Linked DNA regions of Anolis sagrei. The protein of the gene in region 1 interacts with the protein of each later gene in a pairwise test. Links are inferred from orthologs where the notes say so. Each region holds a gene or a part of one and is shown on either strand. Other genes may lie near its edges.

The links. The genes of interacting proteins can lie anywhere in the genome.
Region 2: the proteins of RAB3IL1 (region 1) and RAB11A interact in a two-hybrid assay, tested with the Homo sapiens proteins (2 studies listed by BioGRID and IntAct). The two-hybrid records come from large-scale screens. The link is inferred for Anolis sagrei from reciprocal best matches to the Homo sapiens genes RAB3IL1 and RAB11A.

The regions. Positions count from the first base shown.
Region 1 is NC_090021.1:237,452,895-237,460,210, reverse strand, and holds the start of RAB3IL1 (guanine nucleotide exchange factor for Rab-3A), read left to right. Parts: upstream 1-3,913; 5' UTR 3,914-4,183; coding exon 4,184-4,194; intron 4,195-7,316. UniProt on the Homo sapiens protein: Guanine nucleotide exchange factor (GEF) which may activate RAB3A, a GTPase that regulates synaptic vesicle exocytosis. Promotes the exchange of GDP to GTP, converting inactive GDP-bound Rab proteins into their active GTP-bound form.
Region 2 is NC_090029.1:25,564,178-25,572,387, forward strand, and holds the start of RAB11A (ras-related protein Rab-11A), read right to left. Parts: upstream 3,096-8,210; 5' UTR 2,944-3,095; coding exon 2,901-2,943; intron 1-2,900. UniProt on the Homo sapiens protein: The small GTPases Rab are key regulators of intracellular membrane trafficking, from the formation of transport vesicles to their fusion with membranes.

The DNA of each region.
Region 1 (7,316 bases):
CACAGTCAAGGGATCACCACTGAGAAGGCCCTGTCTCTCATCTTGGTCAATCATGCCTGCAAGGAAGGAGGGATCAAGAGCAGGGGCTCCCCAGATGATCTTAAACTCCACAGTGGTTCATAGAGGGAAATACGTTTGGACAGATAAGCTGGGTCAGAACTGTTTAGGGCTTTATAGGCTAAAGCTAGCACTTTGAATTGTGCTCGGTAGCAAATTGGCAGCCAGTGAAGCTGACGTAACAGGGGGGTTTTATGCTTCCTGTATGCCGCTCTGGTGAGCAATTGGGCTGCCACCCGTTGGACCATTTGGAGCTTTTGAACCGTCTTTAAAGGCAGCCCCGCATACAGCACATTGCACTAGTCTATTCGAGATGTAACCAGAGTGTAGACTACTGTGGCCAAGTATAACTTCCCAAGGTACGGGCGCAACTGGCGCACAAGTTTTAATTGTTCGAACGATCCCCTGGCCACCGCCGAGATCTGTTGTTCCAAGCTCAGCAATGAGACCAGAAGAACTACCAAGCTGTGAACCTGTGTCTTCAGGTTGTAACCCTATACGCTGTTCAGCTGTTTGTTGTTGTACTGCAACTCATGGAAATGCCTAGGTACTATAGCCAATGGGTTTAATGTGGGATCAAGGGAGAGACAGCTCTCAAACTGAAAAGCCCCGGTTTTCCTCAGTTTTGGCTTTCCATTAAACTCTATCTGGGCAACAGATCACAAAAGACAACTCTTGCAGTGAATTACCCTTCAAGGACATCTTGATATACATGTTAACTGCTTACAGAGCAATACCTGCTGCTACTTCCTTCCCTGCTCCTCTTTATTGCTGTAATAGCCAAAGGCCAAAGAAGAAATTGCCAAGCATTGCTCAAAATCAGGAGAAGCCTGCTTCTGTTCTTGGGAAACTCCAGGAGCCATATGGATGACCAAAAAATGAGAGATATGGGGTGTGGCTGGAAGCCTGCTTTCTAGCATTGAAAAACAAGTGTTTGACTTCATATTGAATGGGGGTGGATGGGTCAATGGGAGTGCAACCTGTTTCAAAGGCGAGCTGCTGCTCCTGGAGGCTTCTCTGGGAGGCTATTTCTGAATTGTTGTCAAATGAACTTCGACTTATGGAGAGCCTATTCTTGAGTGACTTCTGTGTTCCCGTGCCATCTTTCAGACTCAGGACAGCCATGGCTTGAATCTATCCATCTGAAATGGGGTCTTCTTACAGTCCTCCATTTTGTCAAGCACTGCTGTCTTTCTAATGCGTGAATTCTGGATGGCCATCTGTCAGGGGTGATTTGAATGCAATATTCCTGCTTCTTGGCAGGGGGTTGGACTGGATGGTCTATGAGGTCTCTTCCAACTCTTTGATTCTATGATTCTTCTCCTATGTCCAAAGTAGGACAGCTTCAGTTTAGTCATAATACATAAATAAAAAAATAAATTGTATTTTTACCTGTTTCTCCTTATGGCTCTTGGCAGGGCACAACACAGTTAAAATATATTATCATAACATAAGTTTTATGAAAACTTATATTAAAACTTATTTTTTACAAAATGCACATATTAGAGTATAGAACAAAAATTAAAATACAACAAGCATAGAACAGTCCTCCAGGCATTTTGGACTTCAACTCCCACAATTGCTAACAGCCTCAGGCCATTTCTGCTTAAGCGGATGAGGGGGGAAAGGAAGGGGCCCAAGGCTGTTGGGAATTGTGGGAGTTGAAGTCCAAAACACCTGGGCTGAAGTTTGCCTGGACCTGATATAGAATGTGAATCTAAAATTCATAGTTAATAATTGCCTGCTGGAAGAGATGGGTCTTCAGAAGTGTCTTGCATTCTGACAACTGACTGAGCTGTCAAATATCTTCCAGCTGCTCCTCTTTTGGACAGCAAAGGAAAAGGTCCTCTTGGATGCACTATCTCTGTGAGTGCATCTACACCAGGCCTGGGCAAACTATACTTTGTTCTAGTGGGTTTTTTCGGGCTATAGAGCCATGTTCTAGAGGTATTTCTCCTGACGTTTCGCCTGCATCTATGGCAAGCATCCTCAGAGGTAGTGAGGTCTGTTGGAATTAGGACAATGGGTTTATATATCTGTGGAATGGCTGGGGTGGGGCAAGGAGCTCTTCCCTGCTGCAGTTAGGTGTGAATGTTTCAGCTGATCACATTCATTAGCATTTGAAGGCCTGTCTGAGTCTGGGAACATCTCTTGCTGGGAGGTGTTAATCTGTGCCTGGTTGTTTCCTCTCTGTTGTTTTGCTGTTGTAATTTTATAGTTTTTTTAATACTGGTAGCCAGATTTTGTTCATTTTCATGGTCTCTTCCTTTCTGTTGAAATTGTGCACATGCTTGTGGATTTCAATGGCTTCTCTGTGTAGTCTGACATGGTGGTTGTTGGTGTGGTCCAGCATTTCTGTGTTCTCAAATAATATGCTGTGTCCAGGCTGGTTCATCAGGTGCTCTGCTATGGCTGACTTCTCTGGTTGAAGTAGTCTGCAGTGCCTTTCATGTTCCTGGATTCTTGTTTGGGCACTGCGTTTGGTGGTCCCTATGTAGACTTGTCCACAGCTGCATGGTACACAGTAGACTCCTGCAGAGGTGAGAGGATCCCTCTTGTCCTTTGCTGAACATAGCATTTGTTGGATTTTCTTGGTGGGTTTGTAGATTGTTTGTATGTTGTGTTTCCTCATCAGCTTCCCTATGCGGTCAGTGATTCCCTTGAAGTATGGCAGGAACAGAGTCAGGAGAAATGCCTCTAGAACATGGCTCTATAGCCCCAAAAAACCCACAAGAACCTAGTGATTCCAGCCATGAAAGCCTTCGACAATACATTAAACTATACTTCCTTTCACTTAAGCATCTGAGGGGGGAAAGGAAGAGGCCTGAGGCTGTTAGGAATTGGAGAGCTGAAGTTGGCCCATGATTGATCTACAGAATATAGTATAAATGCAGTTTGGCACTACTTTTGTTATCGAGCTCTTTTTTGGGGTCCTCCCAGCGAGGGAGATCCCAGAAGACCGCATCACTTTTACTGCCATGGTTCAATGCTCTGGAATCCTGGGAGTTTCAGTTTAGCAACTCACCAGCACTTTTTGGCAGAGAAGGCTAAAGACCTTGTAAAACCACAACTCTTGGGTGAAAAGGAATCCTGTGAGGGAAAGGCTTAAGAGGCCCTGGAACAATGTGTTGTCGAAGGCTTTTATGGCCGGGTTGCTGTGAGTTTTCTGGTCTGCATGGCCATGCTCCAAGCATTCCCTCCTGACGTTTCACCCACATCTATGGCAGGCATCAGAGGTTGTGAGGTCTGTTGGAAAGTGATGTTTATATATCTGTGGAATGTCCAGGGTGGGAGAAAGAACTCTTGTCTGCTTGGGACAAGTGTGAATGTTGCAATTGGGTTGTTGTAGGTTTTTTGGGCTATATGGCCATGTTCTAGAAGCATTCTCTCCTGAAGGAGAGAATCAAGCTGCAATTGGCTAGCTTGATTAGCAATGAATGGCCCTGCAGCTTCAAAGCCTGGCTGATTGCTGCCTGGGGGGAATCCTTTGTTGGGAGGTGTTAGCTGGCCCTGATTAATTTTTGTCTGGAATCCCCCTGCCAAACGTCAGGAGAGAATACTTCTGGAGACATGGCCATACAGCCCGGAAAACTCAGAGCAACCCGGCCCTGGAGTAGTGTGGTGGGAGTCTCTTTCTCAGGAGATATTTTAAAGCAGGGGCTGAATCCAGGCCATTTGTCAGGAGTATCCCAGAGGGTTGGACTAGATGGCCTTTAGTGGTCTCTTCCCAGTTTAGGATTCCGTTCATGAGTGGATAGAGTGAGAGAAGGGGGGTCACGTGAAAGCGGGGGGGGGGAGAGCTTTCGGGGAGGTCACGTGACCTCTCCTCCTCCTCCTCCTCCTCCTTTCCTGCCCCCTCCCCCGCCCATCCCTTCTCCTCCAGCTGCGGAGGCGTCCGAGCAGCTGGGCTGGGAGGGTTTCCAGCGCCTGCCGCAGCGGCTCCAGGAGGGGAAAAGCCAAGGCAAGCGGGCCGCCCTGCATTGAAGGCGAGCTCTGCGCTCTGCCTTGCAAGGAAGGAGACCCGACCATGGCTATGGCTATGGCTATGGCTATGGCTGCGGCGGCGGCGGCGGAGGCGCCCTCCTTCTCTTCCTGAGGCTCCGGCGGCCACGTCCTTGGAGGCAGCATGTGGCGCGGGTAGGTGCTGCGGGTTAACGGGGAGGGTGGCAGAAAGGGCACCGAAGGGGGCTGCTTCCCCGGGGCCTTTTGGCCTGCCTTCTGCTCTGCACCAAGGAGGGGAGGCTTGGAGAAAACCCGGTGCGGAGGTTTTACAGCTTCAAGGGTGCATCTACACTGCGGAATGAATGCAGCTTGACACCACTCTCACTGCTGCCCTTCGCTTTCCCTCCAAACCACAGGATTCCACAGCAGAGCCGTGACAGTTCAAGTGGTGTCCAATCGCTTTCCTTCCACAGTGGAGAGCACCCCAAAGGGCAGCAGGGACCACTCTGTCTTCCAAGTCGCATCTCGCTTATGGTGACCCTCAAGCACCCCGTCACATTAGTTCTCATCACACTAGAGAACGAATCCACTTTAAATCCGGTTTCTGCAGAATTCTGGGAATTGTAGTTTAGGGAGGAACCTTTAACAGCCTCACTAAACTACAAACCCCAGAATTCTGTAGGAGGCAGAAACCAGTTTTAAAGTGGATTCATTCTCTAGTATGATCAAGTAGCTTGACACGATTTCTTCCAGAAGGTGTTTGCAGTTCCCTTCCTTGGGCTGAGAGAGAGTGACTCACACAAGGTCATCCAGTGGGTTTCCATGGCCCACCAGTGGTTTGAACCCAGGTCTCCAGAGTCATCATCCCAATGTTCAAGACATTTTGTCACACTGGCTCCTCTGTGGGTTGGGATTGTGGACAGAGGCGGCCCTAGGTAATTTTCAATGGTAAGCAAACAGTATTTTGGCACCCCCCCCCCCCCAACCAATCACTGATGTATATTTTCTGTTCGTCGTGGGAGTTCTGTGTGCCATATTTGGTTCAATTCCATCATTGGTGGAGTTCAGAATGCTCTTTAATTGTAGGTGAACTATAAATCCCAGTAACTACAACTCACATATGTCAAGGTCTATTTTTCCCCAAGAGTGCCTCAAGAGCGCCCCTGGGCAAAATCAACTATGCTGCAAATGCTTACTTTGCGTAATGGGTTGAGCCACCCCTGATTGTGGATGTGGGAGACTTTTCCCCGCCTTGCTTTGCACCCTCCCCATTCTTTCCCATGCTATTCCTCTCCTACTCCCCAACTTCTATTAGTTCAAGCCTGAACCTGATGGGCAAAGGTCACCCAAGGATGGGTGGGAGGCATGAGACTAGAAGTTGCAGATGAAGGGTCTACCTTCATTCTACCTGCCAAAATGCTAAAGACCCTCAGGCACCCCATCACAAGGTTTCCTAGACACGATTTCTTCCAGAAAGCATTTGCAGTTCCCTTCTTTGGTCTGAGAGAGTGTGACTCACACAAGGTCACCCAGTGAGTTTCTGTGGCCCAGCAGAGATTCTAACCCAGGTCTCCAGAGTCATAACCCCAGCATTCAAGTCTCACACTGGCTCCTCTGTGGGTCGGGGTTGTGGATGTGGAAGACTCCTCCTCCTTTGCTTTTCATACTCTCCATTCTTTGCCATACTTCCTCTCCTCCAAAGCAGAATAGAGGGGTAGCATTACTTCCCTAGATCTAGGGAAGTAATGCTACCCCTCTATTCTGCTTTGGTTAGAGCACACCTGGAATATTGTGTCCAATTCTGGGCACCACAATTCAAGAGAGATATTGACAAGCTGGAATGTGTCCAGAGGAGAGCGACTAAAATGATAAAAGGTCTGGAGAACAAGCCCTATGAGGAGCGGCTTAAGGAGCTGGGCATGTTTAGCCTGAAGAAGAGAAGGCTGAGAGGGGATATGATAGCCATGTATAAATATGTGAGAGGAAGCCACAGGGAGGAGGGAGCAAGCTTGTTTTCTGCTTCCCTGGAGTCTAGGACGCGGAACAATGGCTTCAAACTACAAGAGAGGAGATTCCATCTGAACATGAGGAAGAACTTCCTGACTGTGAGAGCCATTCAGCAGTGGAACTCTCTGCCCCGGAGTGTGGTGGAGGCTCCTTCTTTGGAAGCTTTTAAGCAGAGGCTGGATGGCCATCTGTCAGGGGTGATTTGAATGCAATATTCCTGCTTCTTGGCAGGGGGTTGGACTGGATGACCCATGAGGTCTCTTCCAACTCTTTGATTCTATGATTCTATTCTATGAACCTGGAAGATCACTCAAGGATGGGAAAAAGGCTTGGGACTAGAAGTTGTGGATGAAGGTTCCTTTTAGTTAGCTGTCTTCTAGCTGCCAGAATGCTAAAGACCCTCAGGCACCCTGTCACAAGATTTCCTGGACATGATTTCTTCCAGAAGGCCTTTGCAGTTCGCTTCCTTGGTCTGAGAGAGTGTGATTCACATAAGTTCAACCAGTGGGTTTCTGTAGCCCAGCAGAGATTCGAACCCAGGTCTCCAGAGCCATCACCCCAAGGTTCAAGTCTCACACTGGCTCCTCTGTGGGTCGGTGTTGTGGATGTGGTAGAATTTTCCCCACCTTGCTTTGCACCCTCTCCATTCTTTTCCATGCTACTCCTCTCCTCCTCACCAACTTCCACTAGTTCAAGCCTGAACCTAATGGGCAAAGATCGCCCAAGGATGAGTGGGAGGCATGGGACTAGAAGTTGTGGATGAAGGATCCTTTTATTTAGCTGTCTTTTAGCTGCCACAATCACATGTCCATAGCAGGAGGAGATCGATAATCTGGTCTCCAGAAGTTTGACCCTCCAGTTGAATTCTGAAGAAAAAGTAAACACACCATTCAGAACTGTTGTTGTGGAGTGCCTTCCTGTCATTGTGATTTAGTAGTAAAGGTAAAGGTTTTCCTCTGACATTAAGTCCAGTCGTGACTGACTCTGGGGGTTGGTGCTCGTTTCCATTTCTAAACTGAAGAGCCGGCGTTGTCAGTAGACACCTCCAAGGTCATGTGGCTGGCATGACTGCATGGAGCGCCATTACCTTCCCACCGGAGCAGTACCTAGTGATCTACTCACATTTGCATGTTTTCAAACTGCTAGGTTGGCAGAAGCTGGGGCTAAGAGTGGGAGCTCACCCTGCTTCCCGGATTTAAACCAGCGGCCTTTCGGTCAGCAAGTACAGCAGCTCAGCAGTTCAACCCACTATGCCACCAATGACTGAGAGCATATGACTTGCTGAAGGTCACCCAGTGGGTTCCCATAGC
Region 2 (8,210 bases), on another chromosome or scaffold:
TTTGTAACTCGCCATGAGGAGAGGCGGATAAGAAATAAAATTATTATTATTTGTCTGTCCTATATGTGAAAAACCTATGGTCTAAGCATTAAATAAACTATCTATGTAGCATGACCTTCTGCCTCTTCTGTGCCAAACTACAGTTTCCAGCATCTTGCTGCCTGCAGAGGCACCCTGAGGCGGAGCTGGTCAAACAGGGGGTTAAGGATCACCAAAGGGGTATTTCAATGAGTTCAATGTCCGGTTGTTTGTGGCCTACAACTCACAGAAGGCCTCGCCAGCTTCTTCAATGGTGAGGCATTCTGGGAGTTGGAGAAGGCCGGGAGGGAGGAAGGAAGTGCGCTTAAAAAAACCTCCCCTCCTCCACAACATTGTAATCTAATAATACTAATATATTATATACATTATATATACTACAACTTATGAAATAGTACAATATATTATATAATACTACTAGTATAATATACTGGTAGTATATTATACATACGTATTGTAATATTGTACAATATAATAACATTGAATAGTATTTCAGTATAATGTGTTATTATTTTTGACGTAGATGCCAATTTGTTTTTGGGATTGGGGTTTGGTTAATTTTATCTTTGTTCAGCTTCTCACGGCATTGAATGTTTGCCGATATCTGTTGTAAACCACCCTGAGTCCCCTCGGGGACATTGAGCGGGATAGAAATAAAGTTTTATTGGGTTGCTGTGAGTTTCCCAGGCTGCCTGGTCATGTTCCAGAAGCATTTCCTGATGTTTCGCCCACATATATGGCAGGCATCCTCAGAGGTTGAGGGGTCTGTTGGAAACGAGGCCAGTGGGGTTTATATATCTCTCTGTGGAGTAATGTCCAGGGTGGGAGAAAGAACTCTTGTCTGTTAGAGTCAAGTGTGAATATTGCAACTGGCCAGCTTGATTGAGCACTGAATGACCTTGCAGCTTCAAAGCCTGTTTTATTATTTATCAAAGTTTCATTATTAATTATATTGGGCTATACAATTTATATATATAATTTTGATAACATTGTAATATAATACATTATAATACTAATAATAATACAATATAATATAGAATAATATTCTAAGATAGTAATAAAACTATTTTAAATACTAGCAGTCCCCTGCCATGCGTTGCTCTGGCCCAGTGTGGTGAATAAAATAAAGTAATGTGAAAGTGTGAGTTCCTAATATATGTAATTTCTTTATGCTTGTGGGTAAACACTATTTCTTGCTGTTTCTTTGTCAGTGTTCTCATTACTGCTCTGGAACATGCAACATATCATTGTCCTTCTTTAGGGATCCCTTTCAGATCTATGATACTATATCTTCCTGTGTGTGAATCAAATATATCTATCAATATCTATGGCTGGAGGGCTTTGATTACTTTTTCTTGCCCTGGTGAAAGGAGTTGGACTGGATGACCTTAAGTATTTTCTGTTGGTCATGGGGGTTCTGTGTGGGAAGATTTCCCCAATTCTGCCATTGGTGAGATGCAGAACGCTCTTTGATTGTAGGTGAACTATAAATCCCAGTAACTACAACTCCCAAATGTCAATGTCTATTTCCCCCAAACTCAATCTCTGTTCTTATTTGGGCACATGGAATATTCGTGCCAAGTTTGGTCCAGATCCATCATTATTTGAGTCCACAGTGCTCTCTGGATGGAGGTGAACTATAACTCCCAAACTCAAGGTCAATGCCCACCAAACCCTTCCGGTGTTTTCTGTTGGTCATGGGAGTCCTAGTTTGGCCCAATTTCATCATTGGTGGAGCTTAGAATGCTCTTTGATTGTAGGTGAACTATAAATCCCAGCAACTACAACTCCCAAATGACAAAATCAAATTTTTTGAGTGATGGTCACTCCTTGCTAGTAGGTATGTTGTGGCCAAATTTGGCAGCAATTTATCCAGTGGTTTTTGAGTTCTGTTAATCCCACAAACGAACATTTGTTGTTGTTCATTCGTTCAGTCATCTCCGACTCTTCGTGACCTCATGGACCAGCCCACGCCAGAGCTCCCTGTCGGCCGTCACCACCCCCAGCTCCTTCAAGGTCAGTCCAGTCACTTCAAGGATGCCATCCATCCATCTTATCCTTGGTCGGCCCCTCTTCCTTTTACCTTCCACTTTCCCCAGCATAATTGTCTTCTCTAGGCTTTGCTGTCTCCTCATGATGTGGCCAAAGTACTTCAACTTTGTCTCTTGTATCCTTCCCTCCAGTGAGCAGCCGGGCTTTATTTCCTGGAGGATGGACTGGTTGGATCTTCTCGCAGTCCAAGGCACTCTCAGAACTTTCCTCCAACACCACAGTTCAAAAGCATCGATCTTCCTTCGCTCAGCCTTCCCTAAGGTCCAGCTCTCACATCCGTAGGTTACGACAGGGAATACCATGGCTCTGACTAGGTGGATCTTTGTTGCCAGTGTGATGTCTCTACTCTTTACTATTTTATCGAGACTGGACATTGCTCTCCTCCCAAGAAGTAAGCGTCTTCTGATTTCCTGGCCACAGTCTGCATCTGCAGTAATCTTTGCATCTAGGAATACAAAGTCTGTCACGGCCTCCACATTTTCTCCCTCTATTTTCCAGTTGTCAATCATTCTTGTTGCCATAATCTTGGTTTTTTTTATGTTTAGCTGCATTACATTTTACATTTTACAAACGAACATTACATTTTTATTTATATAGATAGATAATACTACTGAGAATATATAATCATATAGAATGATAATACTGTTTTATTATTGCATATGTTAATTTGTCATGTTTTTTTTATTGTGAGCCGCTTGGAGTCTCCGTAGGGAGAGAGAAAACGGGGTACAAATCAATCAACAAACGCCCAAGCCAGGCCTTTCTCAAGGAAACGCGCCCCCAAAGGCCCTGGAGCGAGGCCTGAGGCCTACCTTTGAAAAGATAGTCGTACTCATCGTCGCGGGAGCCCCCCATGGCGGCGGCTTCGAGGCCTTCTTCTGCTCCTCTTCTCGGCAGACACGGAAGCGACTCAGCCGGCCTCCTCCTTCTTCCTTATCCGGCCCTCCTCGCTCTCTCTCTCTGCCCAGGTCTCCTCCCACACGGATAGCGTTTCCGGCCTCAAACATCCGCTTGGTGGAGGGCACTTCCGGTTCCAGCCGCCATTCCTTGAGAGGGCACACTCCTCCGCCACAAACGGCTTCAATATGGCGGCCCCGCTTCCGGTCCAGGGCGGAAGTAGGTCTAAAACAAACGAAGAAAGGAGATGAAGCTCAAAACGCCTCTAGCGGTGGCGAAGAACAGACCGGAAGTTACGTGTCTTAAAGGAGCCGCAGCATTTACCAATAAGAACATATAATACTATATCATAATATAATAATTGGATATAATATTACTAATCATACTGAAGTATGGTGGTATAGTACAATATAATACAAAAAAACAATATATTAATTGTATATTATATATTGCGTGTAATTTTACAGTGGTATAGTACAATATAATACAATATCACAATATATTAATTGTATTGTCGAATGAACAAAATCTGACTACCAGTATTAAAAAACTCAAAAATTACAACAGCAAAACAACAGAGGGGAAACAATAAAATCACTCTCAACAAAAGATTCCCCCCAGGCACTTCCAAGCCATTGAATGCTAATCAAGGTGGTCAGTTGAAACATTCACAGCTAGCCCCAGCAGACAAAAGTCCTTTTGATATCGAGCTCTTTTGGGGGGCCTCTCCAAGAGAGAAAGCCCTAGGACCGCACCAAAGAGGGTCCTGGTACCTCGGCGAGATTTCCGGGAGCCAATCCAAGCATGCAGGAAGGTTAAAATGTAATCAGCTCACCCGAGGCGGAAGAATCCAACGATCAAGGCGTTTATTTTGCGATTCAGCTGAAAAGGATGCGTTACAGGGATATTTCCACCATAAGCATAATTTTACAGAATTTCCAGGCATTTTTATAGCATGCAGACAAAGGAAAAAACAGTTTCAAAACTCCCGCCGCCCTCTGCCGGCCGGCTTCGCCCTGATTGGCTGTGCCTGAAACAGCTGGGAGGAGGCTGGGCGATCCGCCCCGCCTCCTGGCCAATCAGGACGCTCCCGCCCCCTGGGAGGGCCAATGGGAACCCTCGGCTCGCCTCTGAGGCTAGACCAATCAGGAGCGAGGAGGCGGAGCGGCCGTGGACAAAGGGGGAAGATGATGAAATTTTGGAACCCCCTGCCGCTGGAATGCGGCTTTTGTTCCGGGCGGGAAGAGGGTGATCCTTAAGAAACAAAAGACTTCCTTGGCCTTGATGGGTTTTGGGGATAAATATGAATGGCAATGTCGACATTGGACCACCCGGAGGGTCGACGATGTCTGATTGAATTAATCAGTCTTTTCTTCCTGAGTCTCTGCAAATCTCCTTTTCCCTCTGGCCTTGCTCCGAACGATAGGATCAGGGATTTGCAGCACTGTCCATGCAATTGAGTTAATCACTGGGTGATTGAGGAAGAGGTTGGGGCCCCTTCCTCGGGCAGTTCCTGGTCACGTCGGTTTTTGGGGGGGAACAAGGGTCAAGGGGGTGAGGATCCAGGGGAGTTCATAGGGTTACATACATCGTAATCATAAGGCATCACTACCATATAGATAATATTAATATACAGGCAATATCTCATCACCTCCCACCACCCATCCCAGTTCATCGCAGAAAAAGGCATTTTTATTTATTTCATAATTGGCAAAGAAGGAAACTAAAAAAGTCCCAAAATTCAGGTCGGGGGGCTCGGATGCGAAGGGGGCAGTCCAGGGGTGCCAGCGGGCTGGCAGAAGATCAGTCCTTCCGTCCATCGGGAGCTGGAGCTGAAGGGGGAGCGAGGCTCTGGCGCTCCGTCTCCGGTGTAAGCCACGCTCCCAGCCGGGGATCGGGCCTCCCTGCCCAATCCCCCCCTTCCCAGGGCACCCAGCCGGGCAGCGGCGGTGGTTCCCCTGCGGTGGGGGCCATGCGAGAGCGAGCGGCAGCGAGCGGAGCAAAGCAATCCAGAAAGCCGGCTAAAATTTGACAATCAGCTGTTGCTTGGCCGAATTAAATCATTTAACAAACACAATTTTTTCCCGAGAGTCGGAGCCCAAAATGGAAAAACCGAGATAGCAGTTAGCGTTAGAATTTAATGTAGAAAAATACAAAATTGGAACGGGGCCGATCCGCCATGTTGTTGTTTTGGCGGATAAGGGGGGCCACTAGGATTCCCTCCGTATCCGCGGTTTTTTCGGCCGTAAATTTAGAAGCCCGGGGAGGCCAGGAAGGCATCCCCGGTGAGCTCACGGTTCCCCGGAGCTCGGAAAAAGGTTCATTAGATATGTGGAAAGCTTCAGGCAGTAAAGGACACAAAAGTATCAAGCGGAAAGGATTCAAAGTTGCAAGACTCAAGTGGTTTATTAAGGGTTTTGTTACAAAGGAAGGGAAGGGGAAAGTGAAAGAAAATCAAGAGGTTTCATGCAGTTCTTGGCTGTGAGCTGCGGGCTGGGGCACATTTCATCTGTTGGCCCAACCTGGCCCTCCGGAACTGCGGAACTCCCTGCCGCAGTTCAAACCAACTTGAAGGCAGGAGTCCCTGCCGCTTGGGGCGCTATCATACCCCCACTCGGAAACTGCAGGAGCCGCGGCGGCGGACTCCGCAATGTTTCCGCCCAAGCATTGTACCCAGCCAGGGGCAGCAGGGCCATCTGGCGAGATGGATCAGAACGCTTCCCCTTTTTGCAAATTTGGAACAGAGCGGGAATGTGAGACCAGCAGCAGCTCAAAACCATGAGAAGGACTATGAGACCTAAGAAAACTAGAAAACCCTTCCTGAGCCAATCTAACGAAGGAAGCCAGTCTGTCAAAAAGCTGAGATCAAAGCCAACGGTCTCCTTGATGCCCGCCGCCAAATCATTCATTCCCTCTATGGCCTTACGGACTACAGGGGTCTGGTCAGTCAGATTGAAACAACACATGTGGCGCACACTCTCACAGCCATAGTGATTCTTTAACAACAAAAAATCTATGGCAGCACGATTGTCCAGCACAGCTTCCCTCAGCTCGTGCATTTCAGTGGCTATGGAAGCCAAGGCTTGTGAGGTGAAATTGAGGTTTTTGACCAGAGCACAGGCCAGATGTTTAATGGCCCTGTAGTTCATGCCAGCTGCCACCCCAGGGGTGAACAGGGCAGTTGCTACAAATTGGGGAATGCCCTTGATGACCACAGAAGGATCACAATTTGGGTCCAAGTTTTGAAGGGACCGAGCCTCCCTAGCCAGGGAATGTGCCAGTTCCAGGTCACTTTTGGAAGGCATAAAAACTGACAGCCTACCCAAGGCGCAATTCCCTATGGAGGAATTGGCTGGGAGATAACTATAGGCTGTCTGCCCACACAGGAAAAACCATCCTGGGGGCAAGACCAAATGGGCATTCATGTGAGGCAAGGTCTCTATGGATGAGCAATTCAGGGAGTTGTCCTGGGTCAATTTTTGGCACTTCCCAACGCACTTGGGAACTTTGAAGCAGTGTGGAGCATGGGGGCTATGTGCCAATTTAATCGCCACCATGCCCGGTTCCCTTTCCTTGGCAGCCCTGCCCCATACAGACAGGTCTCTGTATGACATAGGCTTGGATGGGATATGCTGAAATATGGTAAAATTTCGAAAAGTCTCCAGAGGTTCTGGAATTCCGATCAAACAAGTCGAGAATAGATCCGTGGCTGTCACTCCGCTTGACAGACAGAAATCAGAGATATTGAGAACCCTAGATGCCAATTGTTGCCAAAAGTTGGCCTTTGTAGATAACCAGTCATCAATGACAGGACTAGCGGTCCTGCATTGAGAGAGAGAGAGCAGGCAAAGAATTAGAGAAAGATACATGCTGAAATTTTTGGACAGCGACACTCGTGGATTGTAGGAAAATAGGCTTACCACTAGGTGGTGCTAGTGCAGACAGCTCCCTCGCTCTGCCGGCTTGTAGCGAAAAGTGAAACTAGGCTGGGGTGAAGTAGAGGGCGCTCCTGTCAAAATCAGCTGGAACGGCTTTTGACAGACGTCAAAAGCGGGCTGACAGAAACCCGGAAGTAGCGGATTAATAGGTTCCCTTGGTCCTAGGAACGTGGAATTTGGTGGGGATCTCCAGGGGGGCCTCTGGGTCCTCTTGCACGACGTTTTTTTTCGCCTAGAGGTTCTGGAAGGGGGCGGGTCGGCCGGACCACCCGCAGGGGGGTCTCCTGAAGGGGCCTTCCGGAACAAAAGCCTCAGATCCTCCACTGGCTCAACGGTCCACTGCTCGTCGGTCTCCTCTCCCTCAATCGGCCCCACTTCTGGCTCTGGGGCCAATTTCAGCCGGGAGTGATGGATCCAGGCACGGATGCCCTTTACCTTGGCAGCTGTGTGGGTGGTGAGGAGGATCTGGTGAGGTCCAACCCACTTTTCGGTCAACGCCTCCGGTTTGTAGGTGCGAACGAGGACCCAATCCCCAATAGAGAAGTTGTGCACAGGAGCATCCAGAGGGACAGGAAGGCGAGAAAGCAGGTACCTATTCAGGGAAGAGAGGATAGAAGTAAGGAACGACAGCCTTTGTCTAATGCTTTCGGATCCCACCTCATGCAGGTGATCAGCCTTTAAAGGAACCTGAGAAGAAGGAAAGGGCCTACCATAGAGAATCTCAAAGGGACTCAGCTTTAACTTTCCCCTAGGAGCTGCCCTAACTCGAGTGAGAGCAAGTGGAAGGGCATCTGGCCAGGGCAAGCTCGCCTGCTGACAAATCTTAGCCAACTGTCTCTTGATGGTCTGGTTCATCCTCTCAACCTTCCCACTAGCCTCAGGATGCCAGCTGGTATGCAAGTCCCACTTGATCTGGAGGACCTGGGCGACCTGCTGCGTGACCTTGGAGATGAAAGATGCCCCGTTGTCTGAGGACAGACATGCGGGCAGTCCAAAACGGGGGATGATGTGGTTCAGGAGGGCATGGCTTACTTCCTTGGCAGTACAGGAGTAGCAGGGAAAGGCCTCTGGCCAGCCACTGTAACTGTCCACAAACACCAACAAGTATTTGTACTTCCTACTGGATGGCAGTTCAGCAAAGTCCACCTGCCACACCTGCCCTGGCTGGAGGCCTGCCTTGAGATGCCCCACTTCTGGCTTCTTCTGGATCTTGGGATTGTTCTTAAGACATAAAAGGCACCGTCGACAAGCCCAGATGGATTGCTGGGCCATCCTGGGGCCAATGAA